Linked DNA regions of Arabidopsis thaliana. The protein of the gene in region 1 interacts with the protein of each later gene in a pairwise test. Each region holds a gene or a part of one and is shown in the gene's direction. Other genes may lie near its edges.

Region 1 (4,875 bases):
TGAATTGGAGCGTAACATTACCATTAAACTTGGTTACGCAAACGCAAAGATTTACAAATGTGAAAAATGCCCTAGACCAGTAGCCTACAAGTGAATTCTTGCTCTTCTTTTGCTACAATAAGGTTACGTAGTGTACGTAGCAACTTATGATATGTGTTAATTATAGGTCTTTCGGGAGTGGCAAAGAAGACAACCCAAGTTGTGATGTCTCTGGACATGAGAAGTACAAGATGAAACTACTAAGACATGTCTCATTTGTTGATTGCCCGGTATAAAATGAGTTTTAACACTATTTCTAAATCTTTTGTAACCATTTTCTATATGTTAATGAGGTGTTTTGTGTGTTGATTAGGGACACGATATCCTAATGGCGACAATGCTGAATGGAGCAGCGATTATGGATGGTGCTTTACTAATCATTGCTGCGAATGAGACATGTCCACAACCACAAACAGCTGAACATCTTGCTTCTGTTGATATGATGCATCTTAAAGATATCATAATCATTCAGAACAAGATTGATCTCATCCAAGAAAACGAGGCTATTAAACAGCACGAGGACATCCAGAGATTTATAACGGTTTGATTCAATTTTCCCATTCTGTTTTTTTTTTGCATTTTTCACTTCTTGATTAGTTGGTTAAGTTTTAAACTTGTTATTACAGAACACGAATGCGGAAGGTGCTCCTATAGTTCCTGTCTCAGCGCAACTGAAATACAACATCGATGTTTTGTGTGAGTACATTGTCAAGAAGATTCCACTCCCTGTGAGGGATTTTGTGTCACCTCCAAGAATGATTGTGATTCGTTCTTTTGATGTCAATAAACCTGGCTCTGATTATGATGGTATGAAAGGTGGAGTTGCAGGTGGGAGTATCCTTCAGGTAAAACATACTCAATACCCCGAAAAACTAGGATAAATCGCGGTTGAATCAATGTAACTTATGTCTCTCTTTGCTTTGTTTGCAGGGTGTTTTGAAGGTGGGGCATATAATAGAGATAAGACCTGGAATCACTAGAAAAGATGAGAATGGAGACACTAAATGCACTCCCATTTACACGCGTATAACTTCATTGTACGCGGAACAGAACGAGCTTCAGTTTGCTGTCCCGGGAGGTTTGATTGGAATTGGGACAAGCATGGATCCTACGCTTACGCGTGGTGATAGGTTAGTTGGTCAAGTCCTTGGTGAAATAGGTACTCTCCCTGATGTCTATGTTGAACTTGAAGTGAGTTTCCAGCTTCTGACACGTCTCATTGGAGTGAAGACAAAGGAAACAGAGAGGCAAATGAGAGTGTCAAAGCTAGTCAAGGGAGAGATACTGATGTTGAATATCGGATCGATGTCTACGGGAGCTATGGTTATTGGAGTAAAGAAAGATATGGTGAAAGTTAATCTGACACTCCCTGTGTGCACCAGCATTGGAGAGAAAGTGGCTATAAGTCGCCGTGTGGATAGGCATTGGCGTTTGATCGGTCGCGGTCAGATTGAGGCTGGAACCACCATTTTTATCCCTTCTCCTCCTTCTTTGGCATGATTATATTTGATGCATTCACATATACCAAACTTGTAGTCTCATTATATCTTCAGAGTATTCCTAATCTGTCACCAAAGGAGATAACTAAACTTCTATGTGCTTATGCTTTTTGTGTGAAGTCTAACTAGAGTTTGATCAATTGCATCATCTTGATTTGTTATTAAAAGTTTTATAGTCTATGGATGTTACAGCTTAATTAACTAATTATCCTACATAGTTCATTTGAGAGAAAGATATAATTTGTGATTGTTGAAACTTGAAACTTGAAGTCTTGAAGAAACAGAAAGAAAGACTTGAAGTCATGGTCTCATTCCTAACGCCCAAAACAACAAAGATTAATAATGTGCAAAAGATGTATTGGGCCTAAAAGGCCTGGCCCATTAGCTGGATTCCGTAAGAAAAAAAAAAAAAGTGAAAAGGAAAAGAAGAAATCGTCGTTGTTGTGGAGAAGGAGAAGAAGGATAAGGATGATAACGGTAAGCGAAGTTTCCTCTTACTCTTCTTCTTCTTCAAACTTCGCGTCTCTGTCTCGTCTCAATCACAAATCATCTTCGAGATTGCGAAGCTCTTCTCTTTACAAAGGAAGCTTCTTCTCTGTTTCGACAAAGACCAGGAGGAACACTTGTAAAGCCAAATCATGGAATCTCGGTCTTGTTATCAACTCTAGAAGGTACTTCTTCTTTCAGATTTCAGATGGGTTCCATTTGAAATCGAAGATAATGATCTTGTTATAGATATTGCGACTTAAAGTTCGAAACTTTTCATGTGAATTTCTCTTGAATTGTGGAGATTTGAGGGTTATTTCATCACTAGTTCGTAGAAATGCTGATGTTTTGTCACTTACTGCTGCATTGTTTGTTGATTGGAGTTGATGTTTCAGCTCTGAGGCTTCGGTTTTTGATCCGTTGGGGATCAATCCAGATGAAACTTCTGGTTTAAGTAGCATTTGGGAAAGCTTTGTGAGTCTTTTGTCACCATCATTTGAAAGCTCTTCCGGTAACAGGCGAGATAAGCCGTCTTCTGGTAGAGGCGTGGCAGGTTCGTTTTGGCTTATCTACATTTGCTTATTGTATGTTTTAGCATGATTGATGATGGTTGCTTTACTCTTTGAAAACTTCAGCTGCTATTGAGGACAGTTCCATTGATTTTGGAGATTTCTTCAAAGGGCCATTGCCAGGGAAGTTTCTGAAGCTTCTTGGGTTTTTAGCTCTCTCTCGGCTTGGAATTTACATACCACTCGGCGGGGTTAATCGAGAAGCTTTTGTTGGAAATTTGGATCAGAATAGCATTTTGAGCACTTTGGATACATTTTCTGGTGGAGGCATAGGTAGACTTGGTATATGTTCTCTCGGGATTGTTCCTTTCATCAACGCTCAGATTGTGTTTCAGCTTCTTGCTCAAGTCTATCCAAAGTTGCAAGATCTTCAGAAAAAAGAAGGTGAAGCTGGTAGAAAAAAGATTCTTCAGTATACTAGATATGCTTCAGTTGGTTTTGCGATAGTACAAGCAATCGGACAAGTGTTTTACCTTCGTCCTTACGTTAATGACTTCAGCACGGAATGGGTTGTTTCTTCTGTTACGTTGTTAACGCTTGGTTCTGTTCTCACTACATATATTGGAGAGAGAATCTCTGATCTGAAACTTGGAAATGGCACTTCCCTATTGATTTTCACAAGTATCATCTCTTACTTGCCTGCATCATTCGGTAGAACAACAGCAGAGGCCTTACAGGAAGGAAACTATACTGGTCTTGGAACCATCGTTGTTTCATTTCTCCTCTTGGTACTCGGGATAGTATATGTTCAGGTACTATACCAAATTTTGTTCCTTTTAATGAATCTAAGAAGTTTGGTATGCTTATATAGTCTAACAAGCAAAGTTTTTCAGGAAGCAGAGAGGAAAATTCCGCTCAATTATGCCTCGCGATACACCAGCAAAGCTGGTGGGCTTCAGAAATCTGCTTATCTTCCATTCAAGGTCAATAGTGCGGGAGTAATGCCTATCATATTCTCCACATCATCTCTTGCTCTTCCTGCTACTTTAGCACGATTTACCGGCATATCTGCTTTGAAGAATGTTGCTTTTGCTTTAACCCCTGGAGGTAAGTTCTCCTAATACACAGCAAGTAAGAAGATTGGGTCCTTTGAAACTGTTTTTTGTTGATGACTTCACAAACAAACTATTGCAGGTTCTTTCTATCTTCCAACCAATATACTTCTCATAGCTTTCTTCAACTACTACTACACTTTCTTGCAACTTGACCCGGACGACGTGAGTGAACAATTAAAACGCCAAGGTGCATCAATCCCTCTAGTCCGACCTGGTAAAAGCACTGCTCTCTTCATCAAAACCGTAAGATCTTTTCTCCCTCTCTCCTTGATCAATTTTTACAAACTTCCCATTTTGGTTTATCATCTAACAACTATCTGAAAATGTCTCGCTCTGATTGCAATATCAGGTCCTTGGCCGGATATCGGTTCTTGGTTCTGCATTTCTGGCTGTTCTAGCTGCTGGTCCTGCTGTAGTCGAACAGATCACTCACTTGACAGCATTCAGAGGATTTGCAGGCACTTCTGTTCTGATCCTTGTCGGGTGTGCGACAGATACTGCAAGAAAGGTTCAAGCAGAGATAATCTCGCAAAAGTACAAGAACATTGAGTTTTACGAGCTTGACAAGTATGATCCATGAACTGGACCTTCTGTTTTACATATAATACCCATCAAACCAAGTTACTGTGTTCTCTTGTCATAGATTGTAACAAATGTTTTAAACTTTGATTAGTATATAATGCACTTTTGTCATGAGCTTGCCAAAGGAAAGTGAAACCTAGTATATAATTCATCAGAACAAATTGTCTTTCCCAATTTTCAATCAGAAGAAGAGCTCTCTTCGACAAGAAAACAAAATTGAAATGAATTCATCATATTATATCTATTTCCTTTTCTATGTATAAGCATCTCACATGGGGGCAAAGTAACCGAATTGACCAGTTCAAGATACTCTGTACAAAAGGCATATATAGCAAACCTAGAAACCTTTCAGGTAACCTAAAACCTTCAAATCCTATAATCTTTTAATATCACAACAACATAAAATCTAACGCAAACCCTTTCAAAGATCTATGCTTTCTTTCGACATTGTCCCATAGGCTGTTGAAAAGTGAACTTGCTCTGTTTCTTCTGTTGCTCATGCTTTGATCCATCTGAAGCTGAGGCCAACCATTCAAGCATCTTGATAACACTTGGGGTATCATCGAGATAGTACTTGGCCTTGCTCGGTTTCTGACCAACTGTGCACGCAAAGACCTCTTCGAGACCAATAGAGGAAACATCTTG
Region 2 (5,503 bases), 8.4 Mb from region 1:
TAGTTTCAAGTCATGATGATAAAAAAAAAAAAAAAAACTTGCGTTTACGAAAACACTAATACTAATACATGAATGTTTTTTTTTTTGTTTTTTTACATATGAATCATATTTCATAAATATTTTTTGAATACGTTGTTATTTGATACTACTATCAACAAAATGTAATTAATCCACCATTATTTGGCTTCAGGTGACAACTCCACATGCATTTACCATAAGCTATAACCGTAATACACCAAGTGAGAGCAGATTTACTAACGATCAAAAAGATATTTTTACAAAGATCTTGGAATTTCATCGTCAGGCTAAGTCCCCATTCATGATCAACGCCTACACTTTTTTCACGATGGACACGAACAATGTCAATTACGCAATATTTGGTCCATCAAATGCAATAACGGATACCAATACACAACAAACCTACACCAACATGTTTGACGCAGTCATGGATGCAACATATTCTGCTATGAAAGCTCTTGGCTATGGCGACGTAGATATCGCGGTAGGGGAGACCGGTTGGCCCACGGCTTGTGACGCTTCATGGTGCTCACCTCAAAACGCTGAAAACTACAACCTCAATATCATCAAGCGTGCACAAGTTATAGGGACACCTCTAATGCCCAACCGCCACATCGATATCTTCATATTTGCATTGTTCAATGAAGATGGAAAACCCGGTCCAACACGTGAGAGAAATTGGGGGATATTTAAACCGGATTTTTCACCGATGTATGATGTTGGAGTTCTAAAAGGCGGTGGAAGCCCGCTTCCGTTTCCACCGATAAACAACAATGGAAAATGGTGTGTGGGAAAACCAGAAGCGACGTTAATGCAACTACAAGCAAATATTGATTGGGTATGCAGCCATGGTATTGATTGTACACCAATCTCACCTGGTGGCATATGTTTTGACAACAACAACATGACGACTCGGTCCTCGTTTATTATGAACGCTTATTACCAAAGCAAGGGATGCGTTGATGTTGTCTGTGATTTTAGCGGTACTGGCATCGTTACCAGTACCAACCCAAGCACTAGCACATGCCCTATACCGATAGGGGAAGGTGGCGGCGGCAATGGCGCAAAAAGCAAAAGTGCAAATTGGTGTATGGCGAAACAAGAAGCGACAGAGACACAACTACAAGCTAATATTGATTGGGTGTGTAGCCAAGGTATTGATTGTAAACCAATATCACCTGGTGGCATATGTTTTGATAACAACAACATGAAGACTCGATCCACGTTCATAATGAACGCTTATTACGAGAGCAAAGGATACTCCAAAGACGCTTGTGACTTCCGTGGTAGTGGCATCGTCACTACTACCAACCCAAGCACTAGCACATGCGTCGTACCAGCATCAGTAACGCTCTGAATTTTTAAAAAGCAACTACAGAAACTGAAAAAAATCAATAAAACAAGATCCTTTTATTTCATTATAAGAACAATCATTTTTCGTTGTTTTTATGTTGTATCTTTAATTTTCATTATATTTTTCAAATATTTATGTAGACATGTACATGAAAAAGAAAAATTATATACATATGGTAAAATATCCAAATTATACTTTGTCATTTCCATCTATTCATTTTCTAGTTATTCATATATATAATCTGCCATTTCCAAATCATAATATTGATCAGTTTTATTCTTTAACATATTTTAATCCACATTTTTTTCTGTATATTGAAAATTGTTAATCAATAAAACTTTATTTTATTATAATTTGAGATTTTGTTCAACATTAACACTACCAAACGAACCGGAACCTAAATGGCTAAACCAAAAGTCAAACCGAAATGGCTATCTCAAATTGAGCTCTGCTGCATTTTAATCTGAAATTAGGGATTGAACCATCTTCACGGATCAATCATTAGACTTTAGCTTTTCTTGCTTATTCTTCACGGATTGGTTTCGATCTCTCCTTCTTCACTCTCTCTCTTTCTCGTGAAAGCAAAACAGATCTCAAATCTCGGGAGCAACAATGGAGTTTCTGGTAACAGTTGCGGAATTCAGCCTCTGGCTGCTGCTGATCGTCTTATTCGGATTTCTATCCGTTGTTGTTTTTGAAGCTTGGAGAAGGAGACACAGTAACGTGTACGTTTTACTCAATTTCTTCGAATTTGTTCCGATTTCTGAGGATAAGATTTGATTGATTTGTTTTGGATTTTCTCAGCTCTGTCGAGACCGTGACTACACTCGACGATCCGAAATCTATAAAACCGGTAACGTCTGATTGATTTATCGTATTAGTTTACAGTGATTTTCTGGCAATAGTGTGGCAAAGAACGATAGCGTTTTGAAAATCAGTTAATTATAGTTAATGGAACTGAGATTTTCTCGTTAAAAAGGTTTTGCGTTGGCGATTTGAACACTTGATTCTGTGTTTCGCTAAAACGAATGTTGAAGCTTCACGTAGTCTTTAAGAGGAACTGTTTCCATTAGTTTAGCTCTTTTTTTGTATCAAATGTTACATTTTGGTTTAGCAAAGAAGCTTGAGAAGTTATATTGTATAGTCGTGTGAAACTTGATAAGTAGTTTATGGAGTCTCTTCCAGATGCAGACTTTGGAAACTCTTAAGTTAGTGGCTTAGCTAGAAAAATTAAGTGTTCCATTATAATGTTGAATCCATACATAGATTGTCTTGTCAATTATAACGAGTTTGACTTGCTTGATCGCATTTTCTGGTGGTTGAGGAATCTGATTTTACTTTTCCTGACCCTGTTTTTCAAACTTTATTATCAGATTCCTTGCCCTCATATTACCGACCCTGCCGAGAAGTATTTGTCTTTAATAGTTCCAGCGTATAATGAAGAACTGAGACTTCCTGCTGCTCTTGAGGAAACAATGGAGTAAGTTAGACAACTTCCACTTATTCGAATCTCCCTTTTACTGGATTGTGTGTCTGCTTCCAATCGTGAGAAGTTTGCTTCTCTTGCGAAACAGCAGCACAAGTCTTATTTATGCATACTACAGAGGCATAATTGTAATTCGCCTCTGGTTTGCAGTTACCTTCAAGATCGTGCATCACGGGACAAGAGTTTTTCTTTTGAGGTAAATACTAAGTAGTTTTCCATACTAAGTAGTTCTCCTTACAACTGATTAAGGTGGATTCTTAACATAGATATGGCCTTTGTTATGGTGAATATGTATGAGCTTTTAAACGTTTTTTGTCCCTAAATTTGATTTACCTAACTCTATTAAAAAAAGGAGAGTAATGCTCACAACTTATTAATCTATCAATATAGACTGCCCACTCATGCTAAATTTCTCAATAAGTCGTTATTGTGTTCCTTAAACCCTATATGCATCAGTGGATTAAGTTTACCTTTTCTCCTTTTAGGTGGTGATTGTTGATGATGGAAGTGTTGATGGAACAAAAAGAGTAGCTTTTGATTTCATTAGAAAGTACACAATTGACAACATAAGGGTTATACCCCTTGGGAAGAATCAAGGCAAAGGAGAAGCTATAAGAAAAGTGAGTTCAACTCGTAGCGCATGCAATTCTATATATTTATTTTATGTGATTGAGTAAGACTGTAAATTTGTCATTTCATAGTACAAAAAAATAATCGAAGCTTTCTACTTTTTGAAAGCATTGAATAGGGAATGTTGCATTCGCGGGGTCAGCTACTTCTCATGTTGGATGCTGATGGAGCAACTAAAGTAACGGACCTAGAAAAACTTGAAAATCAGGTTTGCCCTTAGTTTTGACTGTTAAAACTTCAGAGAAACTAGAAATTGTGCTATAAATTTCCTGATCTCCTAGCCTCTCAGATCAATGCAGTAGCCAGAGAAGAATATTCAATCAGAAATCCAGCATCTAAGGATATGGATTTCAAAATAGGTGATGTTCAAGTATCCGCATTTGGTTCTCGTGCTCATCTCGAGGAGAAAGCTCTTGCTACAGTTAAGTCTTGCAAACTTCTGTTCTAGACAACATCATTCTTTGTCTATGTACACACACAGATGCATATACTTATTACGCATCTTAGATAATTGACTTTTAGTCTTTCAATTTCAGAGGAAATGGTATCGCAACTTTCTGATGAAGGGTTTCCATCTTGTGGTTCTATTAGCTGCTGGTCCTGGTATTCGGGATACACAGGTGGCTTTTTAAATCTCATTCGTTGTTTCCTTCTACACTCTCTGTTTCACCAATCTTGAATAGTAATAACTAAACATCATTTTTTTTAATCAGTGTGGCTTCAAGATGTTTACTAGGGCTGCTGCTAGGAGACTTTTCACAAACGTCCATCTGAAAAGGTATATGAGTAAATGAATCGATGATGATAAACTAGCAGTAAAAACATCAATAAGAGTCTCATCTGACTCGGTCTATGCGCAGGTGGTGCTTTGATGTTGAATTGGTGTACTTGTGCAAGCGTTTTAATATACCAATGGTTGAAATCTCTGTGAAATGGTCCGAAATTCCCGGGTCTAAAGTCAGTATGTTGAGCATTCCAAACATGCTTTGGGAGCTTGCTTTAATGTCTGTGGGATACAGAACTGGCATGTGGAAGATCCATCAAGTATGAGACACATAGACAACAACATACATAGAGCATTTCCTCTTGGGAATAACAACTCGTCCACGCTGGTTTTCTGCAGAGAGGATATAGTTTTGATGTCTCTGAATTTCTGGTCAAGCTCAAGGAAAGCTAAGGCGATAGAAAATATGTCGGTCTTTGTTTCAATAGATGTGATAAAAATCTTACCGGATTATAAATGATGAAATGAAACTACTACAGCTCTAGATTTTTTTTTTTTTGGTTTTAGTTTAAACTACTCAAACTTTGTTCAAAAAAAAAAAAAAAAAAAAAGTTTAAACTACTCAAACATTCCAATGACAGTGCTCTACTTTGAGTTTTACATCTTCATGGCATGAACTAAAGATTAAAGTCTTAATCTTAGGAACTGATTGATCCTCTTATAAACTAAATCGCTCTAATTAAATGACTTCAATTTTATAATTTATATATTACAGAAAATTTTGAAGCTTTCAAATTTAACGGTTTTTCCTATAAACCGCCAAAAAACTGCAAATGCATCCTCGTCGCCGGTGAAATGCCAATTAACTACACTAACCTCCTCCTTATGCTCCGGGAATGTAAGAACTTCCGGTGTCTTCTTCAAGTTCACGGCAGCTTGATAGTCTCAGGTCTTAAACCTCATAACCAGCTCATAAACGCTTATTCTCTCTTTCAAAGACAGGACCTTTCTCGCGTCATCTTTGATTCAGTTCGAGATCCAGGTGTTGTCTTGTGGAATTCAATGATCAGAGGATACACGAGAGCCGGTTTGCACAGAGAAGCTCTCGGATTCTTCGGGTATATGTCGGAGGAGAAAGGTATTGATCCAGACAAGTACAGTTTCACTTTTGCTTTGAAGGCTTGTGCCGGATCTATGGACTTTAAGAAGGGTTTACGGATACATGATTTGATTGCTGAGATGGGTCTTGAGTCTGATGTTTATATAGGAACTGCGTTAGTTGAAATGTATT

The links.
Region 2: the proteins of SCY1 (region 1) and AT2G39630 interact in a protein complementation assay, tested with the Arabidopsis thaliana proteins (one study listed by BioGRID).

The regions. Positions count from the first base shown.
Region 1 is NC_003071.7:8,111,584-8,116,458, reverse strand, and holds SCY1 (SECY homolog 1), read left to right. Parts: upstream 1-1,973; 5' UTR 1,974-2,006; coding exon 2,007-2,209; intron 2,210-2,419; coding exon 2,420-2,577; intron 2,578-2,659; coding exon 2,660-3,345; intron 3,346-3,426; coding exon 3,427-3,640; intron 3,641-3,727; coding exon 3,728-3,891; intron 3,892-3,997; coding exon 3,998-4,228; 3' UTR 4,229-4,375; downstream 4,376-4,875. Other genes in the region: AT2G18720 (Translation elongation factor EF1A/initiation factor IF2gamma family protein), read left to right, coding at 1-90, 167-269, 353-580, 666-884, 970-1,539; TPS11 (trehalose phosphatase/synthase 11), read right to left, coding at 4,660-4,875. UniProt on the Arabidopsis thaliana protein: Involved in protein export. Probably interacts with other proteins to allow the translocation of proteins across the chloroplast thylakoid membranes. Required for normal greening during embryogenesis. Central subunit of the protein translocation channel SecYE.
Region 2 is NC_003071.7:16,521,043-16,526,545, reverse strand, and holds AT2G39630 (Nucleotide-diphospho-sugar transferases superfamily protein), read left to right. Parts: upstream 1-1,762; 5' UTR 1,763-1,984; coding exon 1,985-2,097; intron 2,098-2,176; coding exon 2,177-2,225; intron 2,226-2,745; coding exon 2,746-2,852; intron 2,853-3,008; coding exon 3,009-3,054; intron 3,055-3,343; coding exon 3,344-3,478; intron 3,479-3,606; coding exon 3,607-3,696; intron 3,697-3,777; coding exon 3,778-3,909; coding exon of another isoform or gene 3,910-3,936; exon of another isoform or gene 3,937-4,010; coding exon of another isoform or gene 4,011-4,024; coding exon 4,025-4,108; intron 4,109-4,201; coding exon 4,202-4,266; intron 4,267-4,348; coding exon 4,349-4,538; 3' UTR 4,539-4,802; downstream 4,803-5,503. Other genes in the region: AT2G39640 (glycosyl hydrolase family 17 protein), read left to right, coding at 191-1,375; AT2G39620 (Pentatricopeptide repeat (PPR) superfamily protein), read left to right, coding at 5,068-5,503.